Arabidopsis thaliana: one gene and its partner. The protein of the gene in region 2 interacts with the protein of the main gene of each other region in a pairwise test. Each region holds a gene or a part of one and is shown on either strand. Other genes may lie near its edges.

Evidence for each region.
Region 1: the proteins of BBX14 (region 2) and AT1G60010 interact in a two-hybrid assay, tested with the Arabidopsis thaliana proteins (one large-scale study listed by BioGRID).

The regions. Positions count from the first base shown.
Region 1 is NC_003070.9:22,094,785-22,099,523, forward strand, and holds AT1G60010 (D-ribose-binding periplasmic protein), read right to left. Parts: upstream 1,837-4,739; 5' UTR 1,651-1,836; coding exon 1,365-1,650; intron 1,272-1,364; coding exon 1,141-1,271; intron 981-1,140; coding exon 876-980; 3' UTR 501-875; downstream 1-500.
Region 2 is NC_003070.9:25,705,946-25,713,969, forward strand, and holds BBX14 (B-box type zinc finger protein with CCT domain-containing protein), read right to left. Parts: upstream 5,045-8,024; 5' UTR 4,805-5,044; coding exon 3,818-4,804; intron 3,620-3,817; coding exon 3,386-3,619; 3' UTR 2,230-3,385; downstream 1-2,229. Other genes in the region: LBD42 (LOB domain-containing protein 42), read left to right, coding at 1,088-1,277, 1,548-2,059; AT1G68526 (uncharacterized protein), read right to left, coding at 5,924-6,005, 6,085-6,293; KCS6 (3-ketoacyl-CoA synthase 6), read right to left, coding at 6,936-7,384, 7,744-8,024.

The sequences.
Region 1 (4,739 bases), 3.6 Mb from region 2:
TTCTATGTATGTTTTGACCATTGATTTTTTGTTTTCTGGATTAAAAAAAAATTAAAATTAAAAGTAACAATTTATTAATCAGATATCTTTTTATAGAGTCTAAAAACATTGGCTGGCTTCAGTTGGATTTTCAGATTTTTTATTTCAAGGATATCTTAAATTCTTGATTCATAATATCGGTTCAATTTTTTGGTTTGGTATGGGTTTGATGCAAATGCCCATCCTTGTTGGTTTACTTAGCTCATCTATGTTATACTATTTGCTAAAAAAATGAAAAAAGTAGTTATAAAAAAAAAAGACAATGTAAATTCAATTTGATTTTCCATTCAAAGAAATATAAATTTTGAGAAAGTCTACTACTTCTCTGAAGAAAAATAACTAATAATCTCAAATAAAATTGGTTATTTTCTTAAAAAACCATCCCATAAATGCATGAAAGGATGTGTACCTACCAATGATCAATCCAACTCAATGCAATTCTTACAACCATTTATACCTCACATAACCATCTAAATCAAATGTTTTTGGACTCATTTAACTAAAGTTTTTTGAACTTTATTCCAAGAATTTGTGTAAACCAGTAAACACCAACAAAAACGTATGTTTTTACAATCTATTTTTTGATTGATTTCTTCACATGGAGCACATATATACATTAACAGGACAAAAAAGGGACTTAGTTCTTAATCTCTGCATAGTTCTTTTTACATCTTAATCTATAAAATTTTCATCTCCTATGTAAATTATAACCAGAAAGGAACATAAGAGAAGAGTTTATTCAATAATGTTTATATCTCTTTCTTCTTCAGATTCCATCTTCTGAATGATTCACACACAGAGACTACGTTTCTTGTCCCTCACGTAAAACCCAAACATCAACTCGTAGCTTCAGAGATGCTCTGCAATGATGGCCTCCATGTTTTTGATCTCGATGAAGCTGAATTCGTTAACACTGAACGTTGCTTCTCATCTTTCGTTTCCTATACAAAGAAAAACACAAACCCATTAATTTTCATAATTTTATATTAATTTGGGGAAAGAAATAGAGTAAAATCTTTAAACTAATTACTTTAATTATTCGAGTGAAAATTGATTCTTGAAGCTAAACCATATCTTAAATTCTAAGTAAAGATTCCGTACCAGATTCTGATTCTTGTCGGATTCTTCATCAATCTTCTTCTCCGATGATGGCTTCTTCTTCTCCTTACTCGTTTCACTTTGGTGTTTCTTTGTTTTCGCGTACTTCTTGGCTCTTAAAACCTTCATAACCTCTGAAAACAAATCAAACGCTAATTTAATCAGAAACCCATTACAAGAACACAAACAGACACAAGCTAAACAAAAACAAATATACAAGAACAAACCTTGTGAAGTGATGAGACGATAAGCATGACCAAGTACAAGATTCTCCGTTGGTCGGAGAAGTTTCACGCGCGTGAACCTCACAACCTTTCTCTCACTCTTATCATCTGTTGTTGTTGTTGTCGCCGGAATATTCTTCTCCGGCAAAGGAATAATAAGAGAAACGTAGTGACCAGGATACATACGCATGATCTCACTAACGGATACAGGACCGTAATATCTATCGATCTTGCCATCAGGATGTTGTAGAACCAACGCAGCCGCATCAACCGCTTGACAATTTCCCATCTCTTACACAAACAAAAAGAATCTCTGTTCTTCAAAAAAATGTTATGATTAAAGAAAAAAAACAGAGAGTAGAATGAGAGAGTTGTGTGAAGGAAAGAGGAAGAGAGAAGAGAAGAGTCTTTTTCGGGACAGCGTGAAGAGTTAGGTCCACCACACTGGCTTTGCTTATAAAACATGTGAAACCCAAAAAACAATTGTTATTATTTAATTTTGGTCACTTTTATGATGTTTTGTGATTATTTAATTGGACTGTCATTTGGGAGTTGATTAATGATAAGAATAATAATATTATTTAAAGATTTGTAACCATATTGTTGCAAATTTGACTGTGGTTGCCTGGGGCATCTCTGACGTTTACTTTATTTAATTTTTGTTATTTTTGGAGTTTAAAAATTTAATGGAATAGAGTAATAGGATGGTCGGAAATTAAATAGTTGATTTGAACGGGTGGGTGCCGGCACCGGAGATCAGGGACCGATGATTTTGACATTGTTTTTGTTCTTACTGATTCATATAATTTAAGTTGCATTTAATTTTCTTACTCGTTTTAGATCATGTGATAAGCCAATAAACCATAGTTTTTAGCAGTTAATCATCGAATGTTGTAGCGTTTGACTTTTATTTAGGACTTGATTATACTACTACTGTCAAAGAATAACTTATCGTTCCGAAGTTAATAAGTTTCTTTTTGTGTAATCAAATAAAAAATATCAGTTACATAAATTGCACTTTCTGAAAAAGAAACGTAAGGTGTTGTCTTCTTTTGTTTAATTTATAATTTAATATGTTTGTAACGTTTGTAAGAATGGAGAAAAATATTAGTTTGAAACGGCAGATTTTCAAAGTAATATTTTTCGAGTCGTTTTTCACTTGTAAGTTGTAACGTTTCAATTTCGTAACGATAGGTAACTAATATTTTTTCGATATTTTCTTACAGAGGTTTATTTTTGTCCAACTACCCATAATTCGATATAAACATCATGCATATACTTGAAAAAATGATGTTAAAGATAGTTAGTACTGATTTTTTGTGTGTATATTTCCCTTTTGCTCATTTGTATAGATAACGTTTAACACTGAAATTATAACAATGGGTACCAAATAGTACTATATTAGTCATACTGATATGAGTTCATCTTCAAGACTTCAACCACCGAAGCTTATGTATTATTCTGCATATTTTCAAATTCGACCGAATATAACATTTAATGCACGTTGAACTTGGACCATGGACAAAACGATATGGTATATAGATTTAGACGAATATAAGAAAAAAAATCAGAGATAGCTGAAGATAACCTAACTAATAGATCCAAAAAATCAATTTTGGTACCACTCATGAAGAATAAAAAAACAAAAATAAAATAATACTTTAGAAATTGGAGACAAAAAAAAAGCTAGTATTTTTTTTTGGGCAAAGAAATAAACAAAAGTATAGGTAGATAAATAGCCCAAAAAAAAAAAAGATAAATAAAAACAGAAATTGTGGATTGGGTGGACAAGGGACACTGCAACTTCTTATCTCTTTTTTCTCACTTTCACGGACTTAAATGCTTTCTCTTGACATTTTATTTTTGTTTTTATTTACTTTTGCATGATTCATTCGGTTAGTACCGATTTGGTTCTTTTGAACTCCGGTTCATGTCGCAGATTGGTTCAGGGCTAAGAATGGGTCGTCCCATTAGTGTTCTTGAATAGCAAATATAATGTACCCATTCCTTCACGAAAGAACCCATATGGGAAATTCACTCCCATCTGAAATGGACAATTGTGACTACTATATTCGTTACCAGCAAAATCTACTTTTGGTATTGAGAGATTATCCACAATGCAAGAAAGTTTTTTCGACCCCTATAGCTTCTTTTTTTTGTTGTTGTTGTTGTCAAACTTCGACCCCTATAGCTCATTAGTTATTTGTTGTTTAGTAACTATATTATACGTTCAACCACACAATGATTGTCATTTATCTCTCTTTCCCCTAAAGTATTTGTTTTCTTACATCATCATCTTCTTTTATCTTATAAAACTAACGTTATCTTTTCCAGGGGGAAAAAAATATCTTAAAAACACCACTTTAATGATGACTACGTATGGAAGAGATATGCTAGGACTTAGGGTTTGATTATAAGACGAACTAAAGTGAGATTTCTAGGAATGATTATATATCTGATTATTATCAGTGGAAGAATACTGAGAAATCTATAAAGTACATAGTTCTTCCGTCTCAATTGACTCAAATTTTTATAGGGTTGTTATTGTACTTTTCTTAAAGTAAATTTTAGATTTAAAATTTAAAGACACGGGACATAAAGATTTCAGAAAACCATATACGAGGTTTAACAATTCAAAAAGAAATATGAAAACCAACAACAAAACCAAGAGGTGCAAATATATAGCTTCAACTCGACAAGTAGTGAAGTAATAGTCAAGTAATGTTCTATTAGCTCGTTATAACATGAGTAGTAATTATAGGGCTCATTTAAGGATTTATTAAAAAACAATCTTATCGCACATGTATTACAACCACTTTTACTAAAAGACTACAATATTTTATGTTATATGATCTCAAACTTTTTTCTACTTTGTAATTAGAAACACTAATTAACCTAGTGAATCTAAGTTTCTCTAATATATGTGAATGTGATACGTCATGTAAATTGCAGTGGCTTATAAGATTCATATGGTAGTTTTACATTTCGAACAACCGGTAAATCAACCATCACTGCAATCCCAAATTTCAGCCACGCTAAGTAAATGTTAAAATGTAATACATGAGATACAGAGACCATCGTGCGATATTTTATGTTACTATACACATTTTATTCAAATTACGATTTTAATGATCACAGTTATTACCAAACGATATACAGTAACTATGGACCCATTTTCGAGTTATTGGTCCGTAAAATCAAGAATATGCAAATACTCACATGACGTAATCAATTCCTATTATAAATAGAACCGCAAATTCGGATATCCTAAGGAAATATCTTCATGATAAAGTAATTTACCTGACTCATGATTATCAGTAGTGTGCCATCAAAATTATATTTTAAAATTGCAAAAAATATATATTAAAAAGTGTTGTC
Region 2 (8,024 bases):
TTTTAGAAATTAAATTTTGTTTCACATTAGTTGTTGTCTTGTTAAATTATTAACGCTTCTTTAATTTGTCATTTCTTTTTGAGAGAAAAAAATCTTAAATTTGTCTTTTCATACTAAATATTGTATTTTCCCCCAAGTAAATATACGGTCCAATTCCGTATAGCCTCCCTAAAACCTGGAGTAGAAATATGCTTGAAGATGAACAAGGAGTTTTGTCTCGCGTGTGTGTAATTCACGTGCCTCATTTTTGCTTAATATTTTTATTTTCTCTTTCAGAAGATTTTAAGACTTAAAGATTTTCTTTTGGTTTTTTTTTTTTTGTCGGTATCATCTCTGTGGGTGGTTCTCGTGCATGTCTCCCACTTTTCATCTCCAAAGTTTCCTCGTATCTCCACCCCTCTGAACATCTGCTAACATTCAATTACGTAAACACCCTCACATTTTCATCTCTTATCTTATGGTTTTCATGCTTTAATTTGAATTTCAAAAGTAGCTTGCACTGCATAGAGAGTCATAAGACCTTGGAATCAATGTTGATATGATGAGGATTGAGAAACGAGCGTTGAAGAAGAGGTTTGTCATTGGGTGAGACGTAATTAATTACTATACTATAGATAAAGGTGACTAGGTGAGTGGTAAAAGTCGTAATATTGGAATGCATGGATGGCAAATCCCATAGAAGAAAAAAAAGTGTAAGAGAGAGAAGTTGGTATTCCCGAAGAAGGAACTCCCCAACTTTTGCCAAAACAAAATGCCAACTTCACTGAAACACACAACCTCCTTCCCCTCATTTCTTGGCCTTTTCTCTATCTTTTGAGAAATCTATACAAATATTTTACTAATTTCTCTCTTGAGAAAGTAATTATCTTTAATGTATTTGTTTTATAAAAGCCTGGACTGCACCAGTTTTTTTCCACCACTTTCTCCAAGAACACACAAAAGTTGAAAAATACCAGCTCATTCACTTATGACTCATGAGTAACTTCTTCCTTATAAATTCAAATTGTTCACAACTTCCTTGAGTTCCATTTCCGAACACAAACACACATCATACGTATATTTGTCACTAATAAACATATAAAGGAATATGAGAATCAGCTGCAACGGGTGTAGGGTTCTACGCAAAGGTTGCAACCAAGATTGCACCATTCGACCATGCCTTCAATGGATCAAATCCGCAGACTCTCAAGCCAATGCTACACTCTTCCTTGCTAAGTTCTACGGTCGAGCCGGTCTTCTTAACCTCATCGAATCCGGTCCTGATCACCTTCGTCCCGGTACTGAATTATCTCTTTTACCTTTTTTTTTACTACACAACGGTCCATTGAATTATCTTGCGAGTAAATAGTACAGAAAAAGTGACGATGTATTTTGGATTATGAGAGATCTTCAAGATTTGGTAACAGAGTAGTATCAAACTAGGATCTAAATGTATATTATAGATTTTAACATAAAATTCTTACATGCACAGTCACAGACACACATCACATCACACATATGTTTTTCATTTTCCCGGTTGATTACATTACCTTCATTGTGTTTTGTAGCAATATTTAGGTCACTTCTGTACGAGGCTTGTGGTCGGATCGTGAACCCTGTAGATGGTTCGGTTGGTTTGATGTGGTCAGGGAACTGGGCTCAGTGCCAAGCAGCTGTTGACGCCGTGCTCAACGGCTTACCCATAACTCACACACCTCTTCCAAGTGCATCCGCGTCGCACCAGATCATTCCTCCCCACAGGACTTACGATATACGCCACGTGGCTAAAGATCCAACAACCGGCGGCGACAGTTCGGAGAATCTGGCCACACGTGTAAACGCTAACAAGAGCAAGACGCAAACTGGCCGATTCAAACGTGAATCCGTGAACCAACTAGGTGAATGTAGTCATGACATGTGGCAACTCCCAAGTTCTAGTGCTACGCATGGTTATGGCCACTTCACGTTGGAGAATGTGGAGAGCCGAAGGGAAGCTCCATTTAATCAAAGTTCTCCAAATCTTGGGTTTGATGATCAAGTCGATATCAACGAGGTTGGCTTAGAGCTCAGACTTGGTTAGAACCAGAAGATTGCATTATTATTATCATAATTCTGTCTTTTTAATTAATAATTTCACTTTCTATATAAAAGGAGAAAAAAAAACTAAAGCAAATCAAATTTAGTATTATTGTCAATCATTAGGTTATCATAAACTCACTCTGTTTCAAATTAGTTTTTTTTTTCTCTTTTGTCCTTAATTAATATATTATTTTATATGATATTACTTTGTTATGAATGAAAAGCCATGCAGGACTAAATACAATTATTTCATTGTTTCTGAGTAATAATATCTGAGTGCCCACTTCAAACCAGCTCAGAAGCGAAAGAGTGTCCCCAGCAGCTCGAATCGTATGACACTATGACTAAGGACCAAACACGTTAAAGCACAAACCCTTAACTTGTTTTTTCTATCAATTCAAAATTGTCATCATTAATATGTCCAAAGGGCCTCACGATCCAAGATATTGAAGGATATTTTCTTCTAAAGTGTTGCCAAATCATATCTTGGATATTTTCTTCTTAAGTGTTGCCAAATTACTGCTGCTTTAAAGTGTGAAAACATATTTGTTGGTTTGAACATATATAAGGTTAATATTAGGCTATTTAGTACAACAAACAAAGGAAATTATGAAAAAAAAGAAGATAAAAATTGATTGCATAAATACAACTATAACCAATTTAAAATCTGAAATACAAAACACCACACAATTATATAATTTTCATATCACTTTTCTTACAAAATTATAATTTTCCCAAGCCAAGTACTCTTCTACTTAACTCTTGAAAAATTGATATTGGAAATAACTTTGTAAAGAATAAAGATATCTCCCGATCAGTGTTTTCCATTGCAACAATTCAATTTATAATTGTTATTGTTTGTTCAAGTGTCCCTCAACACCTGTTGTTAAACGAATTTTTCTGATGACTAAAAACTGAACCATTGTCAGAAAAAACTATAGTGTACCTTAATGTTTTGAGAAGATTTTGGATTCAAATCCTCAGCTGCGGACAATTTGATAAATTAATAATATTATAGCTGATATGAATAAAATAAAACAAATTAAGATATTTCAGTGGGATATTTGTGAGTTGTGACAATCCATATGTTTATTTTGGTGACAGCAGATTACCAGCAATCAAAATTCACGTTATATCGACTATATAAATCAGTGCTTACAAGATAGTCACATTTTTTGGTGATATATTTATGTACATACGTAGCTCACAAAAACGTGCAAAATTCTCTATGAATGCAGAAAAAGAAAGCTAACAATCACCAAAACTATAGCAACAAAAAAGCAAGATGAGAGCAAAGTAATTTAATATCCATAATTAATTAAGTTCTTTAGTGAGCAACACCAATTGAAGATCTCTTGACGAACCTTCCTTTCATGCGAGGCCTTTTCTCTGCATTCAATTTACGTACCTCGTACCTTATCTTCTTGGAGAACAACCTTGTCCTCCTTTTCTCTCGGTATCTTGAAACCCTAGCCTCTCTTCCTCCATCCCCAGCATCTCCTAGGTGTAACCCTAGGCCGCGGAAGTGGTTGTGATGATGAGCCTCTGCTCCACTTTCACCCTTAATATTCACAACACAAATAAATTTTGTTAATTAGAGACAATGCTTTCTTTATATCAAAACTAAATAGTAATAACAAAGGTTGCGGTCCATTGATAAAAACTTGTTGCTAGTATGATATTTGTTTGAGTTTAGTCATAAACTATCCGGTCGTATAAAATATAGTAGATAGAACAAGGCAATGCGTGATAGACGTACCATGGTATGGGTTGGGAAACAAACCATGTCGAGGTCTATTTCAGATGGCACCCGGGCGGTCCATGGGATCCCTTGGCCTCCCCAAGTGGAAATGACTGATTCATAGTCCAATCTAAGCATAAGAGCCTTCTCCTTCTTCTCTTCTTTAATCCCACCACTCATCTCATTCACTCCCATCTCCATCACATTCTTCATCACGTCTTCTTTCTCATCTTCTTCTCCTTCATCGAATGTGGTCTTGTGTGTGTACTCGTAGTCAAAGCTTATTTCAAATGGGGATGTCTCATCACCTTCATCTTGATCATGCACTTCTCTTGTCACAACTCCCTCTTCCTCCACCTCCTCTTTTTCGATCTTTAACATCTCACCTAACCCTAGTTCTTCTATGGAATGAAACTCTCGATCCCCTCCACCGAGTAGAGTCTCCACGTCAGCTGTGAACTGAGCTAGTTCCATGTCGGTTGGGAACAAACCATTCAGACAACTCTCAGCGTTGTCGTCATCTTCTTCGTCACTACTCTTGAAACTTAAGGGCATCATTGGAAACTCATTCTGTTTCTCCAGGGATTGGTTAAAGCATTGCTCCTCAACCATCGAGTTCATCACCGGCACCTCAAATATGAGCTGCTCTTCCACCTCGTAACTCTCCGCTTGATCCTCCGTGCTCATCTCCGGCACAAGATCATGAAAAACCATCGTGTGGCTCTTCTTGCCTCCACGTGGGGTCCGAGCTTTACGTGTAAATCCCTGATGCCACGTGGCTTGGTGAGGCGGCGAGGCATGGCGATACTTTCCGGCGCTAGCCGATTTCAAGCGAACTCTCTCGTGCCTACGAGCAAGAGGGTTTGCCGAGTGGACCGAACCGTCACAAGCATGGCAAAGAAAGGCATCATCAGCTGCGCAATACCAACGTGCCCGCCTCTTCACGCAGCTATCACATGCCCTCGCCGTCTTCCCTCCAACCGCACTAGCCAAACTTTTCATCATATTGAACTTATCACCATCAACAAGAAGAAATCTTACTTTGAGTAAAACCAAGTTGCCAAGTCTCAGTTGCAAAAAGAATGTTTTATCGAACTATGGGTTCTCTCTACAAAGGTTTCAGTTTTCGAGAAGTGGTTATAAAAAGAGAGACTACATTTTCATTTTATGAGGCATTGAAGGGTTAAGTGTAGAGGCGTTGTTGGCTAGTACATGTCCCACACGATGTGAGCTTTTTTCTTCTTGTATAATTTAAAGTGAAAATTTGATGCACCTTTTTGGTTGCTTATACCCCATGAGGGCCATGAAGAGATCTTATCTCGATTCTGATTGGTCGAGTTCTTCAAGTTGATCCTATTCTTAATGTTGTGATTGGTCAGCTTCTTAATCAGATGGATATCTTTATGGTCCACTTGTCGTTTTCACTGACCCAATCACTCCTTATTTTTGGATTTTGTTACCATTCATTCATTTTTGGTAGATTTCATTATTTTCCATGGAAAAAGTCGATTAGTGTGGCTTATTCTCGTGATTATGTGGAAAGCGAGGTTTTGATTGGTTGTGTCGGTTTACGTTTAAAGATAATGAGTAATGACATTAATTATAGTATGATATGTCTACATCTTTATTTTCTACATAGTTATCTTAAAACTTTAGAGACAATGAAATTGTATTAATATCTTTACTGTATATTTTTATACAAAGGAAAAAAATCAATTAAATCCCCAATTATTAGGACTAAAGATAATCATTAAAAAACTATACAGCAAGCGTAAAAATATACAATTTAAGCATATAAAGAGAAGATGGCAGAAAAGTAGAAACGAATTCAACAATATGAAGCTCAAGAATCAAGTGGACAATAAGTAGAAGTGATAAATGGAGAATTACTAGAGATAAGTAGAAGTGCTAAAGTAGAAAACGTTGGGGTTAAAGAAAAATAAAAGATAAAGTGGATAACAATGGTTTGTGCTGGACCACATCAATATGCAGAAAACTTCAAAAACAAAGGCATCAACCTTTTTCTTGAGAAGATAAGAGGCTTGATGGATATCATTTACCACTCTTGGCATTATTCGTGTACTTGGAAAATGATGTTTATATTTTTTTCGCCATTTGTATACACTAAGATTTCGGAGACTGATTATTGATTGAATTTGATAAAAGATCATTAACCTTAAACTTTTGTCCTGTCTGTTGAGATATCCTTAATACTTGGAATTCATAGAGAACAAAAACTCATAACGCCACATTTCACCAGCCACAGTTTAGGGTCACGTACGGACTGATGGCAAAAGCGCTTGTTGATCAACGTCGTTAACATCATCAATCTCATTATCATCCTCTGCATCCTTCTTAGAATACCTTTCCAAACATCTCTTCTCAAACTCCAACTCTTCGACATCTTCTTCATCACTTCATGAGGATTAAACCTCCGTTGGTAAACCTTGCTATTGATGACCTGCATCCTCACTAGGAAGGCCTGTTTCACCATTTACAATGAAACCTAAGCCATCATAAGCTGGGAAATCAAGGCCCACTTATTGATATAGGTCCAATACATTTTGTGGCAGTGTTGGAAAACATGTTTGATGTACTCGTATTTTAATACTATTGGAGAAATATATGGACTCACGTATTTTTTAATCATCATGAGTCATGACATCATCCAATCCATTCATTACATACCATCATGCATGCAACATATAATTTTACATGCAAAAGTCTGTAAGAGATGACTGTCCATGCACCACATTCATAGTGGACATATTTACTGCTATCGGATCCTGCAAACTGGATGGATGGTCAACCCAAATCAGAAGCAATATATATAAGGCAGCGATGAAAACAAAGAAGTTTATTCTCCAATTTAAAAATAATAAAACAGAGAGAAATATTCTTATTTGAGTACACCACAAGTTATTAATTACAGCACGAGAAACTAAAAAATACCCCAAATGAAAAGCAGAGATTTAAGTATATGCAGAGCAATTAAATACAAACATTTATGCTTTGCTTTTTCTTCTCTCTAACTTCCCATTTCTCAATCCCCTTTAAACCAAATCCCGAGACCAAATAAACCTAAACCGTAACACAAAATCAAACCGTTACTAAACCGTTCAAAGACGTTTTCAGTTTAGAGTTTGACAACTTCGGGAATAAAGACAGGGTAACGGTCGATACAATCGGACCATGGTCCGTCCTTAGGTGTCTTAATCGTACGGTTACATTTCCACACGGCAGAGTTACACTTGAAACCACTCCCAAACGCGATTTGCCAAACGCGATCGCCTCTCCTCATTCTCCCTTTAGACTCGATGTAGCTAAGCTCGTACCATAACGATGAAGATGACGTGTTACCAAAACGATGTAGTGTCATTCTTGAGGCCTCAACGTGTTCTCCTGATAGTTGTAGATTCTTTTGGAGCTCGTCGATCACCGCTCTGCCTCCTGCGTGAATGCAAAAGTGTTCGAAGGCCAGCTTGAAATCCGGTATGTATGGTTTCCATTTCGGGTTGAAGATTTTACGTCCGATTAGGGACGTGAGGAAGAGAAGTTGTTCTGACGCCGGTAGGACCAAAGGACCTGTTCAAACAAATTCATCTATCAAAACCAAAAACGTACCATAATTCCTTAAACCTAAGCCAAACCAAACTTTGCTTTAAATCATAATAAAATTTATATCGAACAAACCGAATTGAATGCAACCGAATAGAGTAACCTAAATTTCCATAGAAGTGAGACATATACCAAGAAAGTACATTTAACCATAATAACAAAACATATATAGAGATAGAGTAATTATTCTGTTATTTAAAACCGAATTGAAGTCAAAACGGAGCCGACCAATAATATTTAATGCCCACCCCTTGATATAGTTTTCACCGTGTATATCATTGTTAGTGTATATATGTAGGTGAAATAAAATGATGTGTGTTTATTACCTATTGTGGTGATGTTTGCCTTGAGGGCTTCACCGGCGATGGCCATGAGATCTTTGGACAAGTTGATGCCAACGTGTCCTTCTTTGTCTTCCTGTTCGTAGACACAGTAGAAAGACTTGTCGTCAGCGCCACGGTGTGTCCGGACGAGGTGGGAAAGCTTGTATTTGGCTCGCCACCGGTCAGACCGGCGGTTTGACATGTGTATGGCTGCCGCACCCATGCGGAAGAGACAATTGGGTAACAACATGGCTCTCTCGTTGCCTTGATAGTAATTAGGCGTT